Linked DNA regions of Mus musculus. The protein of the gene in region 2 purifies or fractionates together with the protein of the main gene of each other region. This does not show direct contact. Links are inferred from orthologs where the notes say so. Each region holds a gene or a part of one and is shown on either strand. Other genes may lie near its edges.

The links. Proteins that work in one complex are often made in the same cells at the same time.
Region 1: the proteins of C77080 (region 2) and Wasf1 purify together in Homo sapiens (affinity purification with mass spectrometry; 3 studies listed by BioGRID and IntAct, with this or other methods). This does not show direct contact. The link is inferred for Mus musculus from reciprocal best matches to the Homo sapiens genes NHSL3 and WASF1.

The regions. Positions count from the first base shown.
Region 1 is NC_000076.6:40,928,729-40,932,379, reverse strand, and holds part of Wasf1 (wiskott-Aldrich syndrome protein family member 1), read right to left. Parts: intron 1,750-3,651; coding exon 1,596-1,749; intron 465-1,595; coding exon 347-464; intron 1-346.
Region 2 is NC_000070.6:129,221,741-129,224,574, forward strand, and holds part of C77080 (uncharacterized protein KIAA1522), read right to left. Parts: intron 2,772-2,834; coding exon 2,658-2,771; intron 2,577-2,657; coding exon 75-2,576; intron 1-74. UniProt on the Homo sapiens protein: Able to directly activate the TNF-NFkappaB signaling pathway.

The sequences.
Region 1 (3,651 bases), on a different chromosome or scaffold from region 2:
TTGTCTCGTCCTCCTTCCACATGCTTGTACAATCATCAGATTTAAAATATGAAATCAAGCAGATTCGGGAAAATCTTATCAAAGTGGGAAGTAAAGCGCAAGAGGCCAGCAAAAGGAAAGAGAAGACAGTAGCCTGCTGAAGACAGCTAGGCCACGTGGTGTGGCAGAAACACAGTGGCTTCATTTATCAACTTTACTCACATCTGCAAGACACTCTCTAGTGATCTGTGTAATTATAAGGACTTTAATGCACGGACCCAACAAAGCAGGGCTGCCAAAGTGCAGATTAACAGCGTTTCCAGGGAGCGACAACACGGGAATACAGAAAAAGTAACTTCTACAATACCTTCTGCTTTCTCTTTTCCTTCCTCTTGTCCTCTGTATCTTGCAACATCTTTTCTTTCCACAGATCAAAGAAATATGAAGGATTGGTATAAAACTTCAGCCCTTCCTTACCATCATCCCTGGAAAACAGCACGCCCAACAGTGTATTAGGTGAGACAGAGAAACAAGCAGACCAATGCTTACCACTGAAGTGTGCTTCCCTCCGTGACAGCGCATCACACACACAGCATGTGCACACGAGTGCCTTGCCAGGCAGGGAGCATATCAGTGACCCTGGCACTCAAGGCAAGGGACGAAAAGGTCACAAGCTTGTGGCCACTCCAGGTGACATAAGGAGATTGTGTATCAAAATAAATAAATATTGTCAAAATAGAGTATTATACTAATACAGTTTTTTTCTTTTCTTTCTTTTTTTTTTTTTATAAATCAGAAAGGAAACTATGAAAAAAGGAAAAGCAGACGCCTTTCAGGGTTGGTTAATAGTGTTAAACACTGTTGCCCAACTGTAGGGCCCATCTTTCCTGAATACTAAATTTCCAAGTCCTTTGGGAAATTCAATAATTAGAAATACTTCTGCCAAATCACAAAGTCTGGAAAGCAGGAGCATCGCTTAGAACAGAGAGCCTTTCCCGTTTCCACTGGTGTGCTACCAACTCGCTATCTTACCAAATCCAAAGGGGTTTCCTAACTTTCAGCTCAGTGTGAGCAGTTACTAACATGCATGCTGAACTACAGCTTCCAACAACAATTTCAATATCATTTCCCCCCAGGATGTGTGCTGTACGTCTTAAACTGCCTATTTAACAAACCCTGGGAAAGAATTTCCAAGAAACTGAGTCATTCCAGACTTCATCAGAGTAAGTGGTGGAAAGTATTAAAAACCTAACATATCCATTATGCAGCCAGGGCAGATGTACACACTGGGAACAGACAGCTGTCTGTCAGCACTGGGGAATTTCAAACTTCAATTTCTTATGGTTAAAATTTAAATTAGAAAGACAAGGGCAACTTCCGTGACACAGTTCCATGGTAATACCTTTGCTGGTGGCTATTCATAGTCATCACTCAACTGGCCCTGGCTTTTGTATGTCAGATCCTACAAAGCTCACCTGTGAGTAAAGGTTTCGAGAAAGCAGTAGGTAGGAAGGCTCCTCTCTGTTAGCTAGACTCAAAAGCAATTACAAATTGCGTGAATCAAGCCCGTAAACGCGGAGTGTGAGGCAGACAGCAGGGTTAACTTATCTGCTGACCTGTAAGGGGTGAGGATATTGAGAGGCGGAGGTTGCTCACACACATCGTATGTTTCTTGCAATGGAATAGGCAACGTCTTGCGGTCGAAAAGCTGCTGATCTTGAATTGTGGAGCTCCGGAAAGCCTTTCTCATCGTTATATCTTGCAAAGACACTGAAACAAAAAAACCACAGATTCGTCTTGTTTTTCTAAGACAACTCAGCCGAATGACATATTAGTACTGCATAAAGCTAGTGTGCCCCAAAGGTTGTGTGCCTTAAATCAGGAGTCGTTGTAAACATTTTATTATCGTGTTTATCCCTGTCACTCCCTGCCTGATCTTCCAGATGAGTTTTAATGCAGCTTTTGTCCTCACAAGCTCTGAAGCATTAGGTCGCATTCCCACCAATATTTCCTTTCTCTCCTGGCTACTCCTGCCCAGCCCACCCGACATAAACCTCTGTACTTTTCTGCCATCTCTCCTGTCTACCTTTATTTATCAATAGCTTCTGGTCAGAATTGCCTGAGGGACTAATTACTAGTGTGTGAGCTCCTGTGTACACTATAAATACCACATATGGGTGATCTATATTAGTTTTGAAGTTACTCTTCTATTTGTACTATGCTGATTTCAACCTAACCGTACAAGGCTGAGACTATCTTGTACATTAGTATCTGCGGTAACTGGCAGAGCCCCATCACATCCGTGATAATTTAAAACTAGCTTTGCTTACTTTTGTGCTCTCCAGAATATTCAAATAAGGTTTACATCAAAATTCATCCAAACTGTAGTTTTAATATTAAGAGTGATTTCTTCACATTAAAACACTGGGCAAAGCCAGTATGATGGCTCCCAACACTTGGGAGGGGAGGGCAAATTTGCCACACATTCCAAGACTAATTTAGAGTCAAAATAAAACCAAAATCAAAAGAAGAAACGACCTTGTATACGGAATATATATTTGTATTGTAAGTATACAAATACAATATCCACAGCAATGTCAGTAATCAGTCATAATTTTCAATCATTTTCCCTAAGATACCCTAACATTTTTTAAGGCCAATTCATGGACATAGGAGTCTGCATGTCACAGGGGAGCAATGGTACTGCTCTACAAGCACGGTCACAGCAGAACTGCATCTCAACAGGCCCACGCTCCTGTCGTGACATACCTACAAACATCAGCACAGAGTTCAGAGCTTCCCCCACCATCAGCAGAGAGTGGTTCGGGAGATAATGAGTAGGTTCTCTCCGTGATGGGTGCTTTCACTAATTTTCATGACATTTAACCTCTCAGCACTTCAGTGAAGAGAAACTGCCATTCCATCTTTAAATACAGACAAGCTATAAAACACACAGCAGGCTCAACAATGGAGGCTAAGCAGCTCACCAGAACTGAAAACTCAGATCTGTTCTTGAGGCTGATTCTTACCATAACACTGTTTTCAGGCTACCAGAAGTGGCCTGTGCTTGGGGTAATGGATCAGTCAGTGCCAACCCCTCTCTCTACTTAGCAGCTATGAACCAAAACAGAGCCGGGTGCCAAATGCCCAAAGCCGTTTTGGTAAAGGATAAAAAACCACATGCAAGAGAGAAGAACTGTTCTGGCTTCAGCTCCTCACTGTGTCATCCCACTGACAAAGCAGACACTGCGACAACAGCCCCTTCCACTCAACAGCATCTCACACTACCTCAACAGTATTATACGCATGGTAAGTATGTTAGCTCAATGTGCTTGTAAGCAAAATTGAATTAAATATAATTGTATAAATTTTTATAACATTCTTACACATTTTCTAAATTAGATTGGCAGTTTCTCGGTTGCTACCACTTAAAGATAATACAAAATACCTTTATTATACTCTGTAGTTTAATTATATGTTCATGTTCTTTTCTTTGAACTCCCTCTACATTTCAAAACCCAAATTGAATCACAAATCTCCACAAAACAATTCCAAAACAAGAGTTTGGCTTTTAGATTTAGACTTTTTCTCCATGTTTCGTGTATTTTAAAGAAATAACAGAAAAAATAAAGCAAGTTACGCATAATTCTAAGACACTCCTACCTTTAATCA
Region 2 (2,834 bases):
TTTTGTAGATCCAAGAGCATGCCCACCTATGGTGGGCCCTCTGAGAACGGATTTTGCACCAGTGCCTACAGTACCTGAACCAGGGGAGCCCATCTTCTCTGTAGCAGCCAGCTGCACACCTCCATTCTCCGCCAGCTCCCCGTTAGTCCTGTCCTCAGCGTGAGGGAGCCCATTGGTGGATGGAGCAGTAAGAGACTCCGTCCTGGGAAGACTGGGGGACGGAGGAGGGACTCCCACTGAGGGTTTGCGGGCCACTGGTGGGGGAGCCTTGGAAGGCTTCTTCTGGGCCTGGGGAGGTGGCCGATGCTCTGAAATGCTCCGAAGTTCAGCCACCAGATTCCGCTGGAGGTCAGCCTGGGCCTCGGGGGACACGGGCCTCTCCAGCTGCAGTTTTTTGGTGCCCTTGGAGAAGATGAAGCTGGCCTTGGAGGCAGGAGACTGTGGCGACCGTGGCTCTGCCTCGGGTATTCCAGTGGGCAGAGCACTCGCAGGACTCTCACTGGCAGCCAGGCTAGAGGCCTTGAGTCGGACGGCAGCATGGAGCCCAGAGGAGGGAGCAGTCACTGGGCTGGCGCGCCCAGACAGGGCTCTTCGCAGAGGCTTCTGAGGGGCCGATGAACCCGGAGAAGGGTTCGGAATCCCTGTGGAAGCACCCACAGAGCGAAGCCGGACCATCTGCAGGAGCGAGGGTGTGACCAGAGGCGTGCCCGAATCCTCCCTGGGAGCCCCGCTGTGCTTGCCCACTGAGTCCTTCTGTGGGAGCCTGGCCAGAGGTTCTGATCCAGAACTAGGAGGTGGAGCTGGCGGAGGAGTCTGGGACAAGCTAGCAGCTGGGGGGACGGCAGCCTCAGAGCTGCAGGACTCCAGAGGGCCAAGCTCAGGGCCTGCATTGAAGAAGACCTCCTCAGGAGGGGGGAAGTCAGCCATCGACAGGTCCTGTTCCTCAGGTGCAGGTGGTGGTGGCGGCGGCCAGCTGGGATCTGGAAGGATCTCCACAGCAGCTTCCGGAGGAGGTGGGGCCTCCTCCAGCACCTCCGGCTTCTTAGTAGGTGGTGGGGGTGGATGGTAAGATGGGGGTGGGGATGGTGGGGGTGACTCATCTTTGGAGGCAACAGGAGACTCCTGGGCTGGAGTCAAGGTTGTCTGGGGCATGGAAGGGGATGCAGGACTGGTGTCGATGGTGGACACCTGCCCAGGAGCCACAGCAGGGGCAGCCAGAACAGGAGCAGCTTGGTTCGAGCTCTTGGACTTGGAAGGTGGTGGAGAGAAAGGAGCAGGCACCTTGGGATGAGGAGGTATGACGAACCTGTCACTCAAGGGGGTAGACATTTGTGGGCCAGAGCGGTCTAAAGGAGTAGGGTCTGAAGAAGAGGAACACAGAGATGTAAGGGAAGAGGATACAGAGGCCCCAGGAGATCGAAGGGATGTCACTCGATCTGGTTTGGGGGGCTGAGCCTTGCCTGGGGAAGCAGGGGCAACTGCCAGACCCTTGGGAGGGAGAGTTGGGGTACCGCTCTGGCTCGAGTAGCCACTTGAAGGTGAAAGTGTCCGTTCTGGGGAACGTGGGGGACGCCTGGAGCCACCTGGGGACAAGCCAGAGCCCCAGGTGCCTGCTGAGCTGGGTGGACAAGATACTGCCCCCACCCCTGAAGAGCCACCCGCAGTGGGCGGCCGAGGCAGCTGTGGCTGCTGCTTTCGCTCAGGTTTGGGCGGCAACCCTAAGGGCCCATCAGGCACTGCGGAGCCGCGCTGATGGAGGGAGTAGGTCCGGCGGGGAGGCGGGGGAGGCCGTTTCATCTTACGCAGGGACACACTCCTGCCAGACAGCTGCCCACTGCTTCGGATGCTGGCCGTGTCTGAGGTCTCCGCAGTGCTACCCCCGCTGGGGGAGCCCCGCCCACTACCGCCTGGAGGAGGGGGCGCCACATTATTGCTAGCTACAGAGCCTTCTGGCTGGCCCTCAGAGCCCCCCTTAGAGGAAAGAGTGGAACCATCAGACACAATGGTCTCGGAGGACTGAGAGTGGCTCCAGTTGTCACTGGACGAGGAAGCGTTGCGGCTGCGGGGCCGTGGACTGGAAGCCGAGGAGAAGCGGCCCAGGGAGCGAACCGAAGCTGGGCTGGCAGAGAGCAGGCTGCAACGGCTCAGAGTGCGCAGGCTGCTGCGGCCCAGGGCCACCACATCCACGGTGGGCGGCAGCACGGCGTGCGGGATCAGCTTCGACAAGTAGGTGGCCTGGGGTGAGATTGACATGGCTGGGCTCAGTGGCTCTGGAGATCCTGCTCCTCCTGTCAGTCCAGGCACTGCGAGAGACATTGGCCTCGTCAGTGGCGGTGGCCGGGCTCCCGTGGATCGGCCAACAAGCGTGTCATCGTGGTAAACACGGTCGATGTGGCGCTGGATGACAGCCTCTGCATCTGTGCCGGCCTCTGTTTCTGCTTCCAGAGCCTGCAGGGACACTCGGACCCCTGTCCCTAAGGCCAGACCGGGGCGACCATCCACCGTGGGGATGCGGACAGCGTCCCGTGAACCAGGAGGCTGTGGAGTGCCCGGTGCCTCACGGTTGTTCCGCAGGCCTGAAACAGACATGGGGTCAGCGGAGGGGCTTGGCCAGGCTCCCGGGCATCCACCACCACTGCTCACCGACCAAGGCTCACCGAGCTCCTTCTGCACGTGCTGAGGCAGCCCCAGCACCGTGCTCCTTCGCTCCCTCCGTCGCCTTCCTGACTTCCCAGATTTGGGAAATGAGTCATGGGGTCTGAAGGTGGAGCCTAAGGAGTCAGTCCAGAGGGGGAAAACCCGTTAGAGCAGAAGGCCTCTGAGCACTCTAGAGA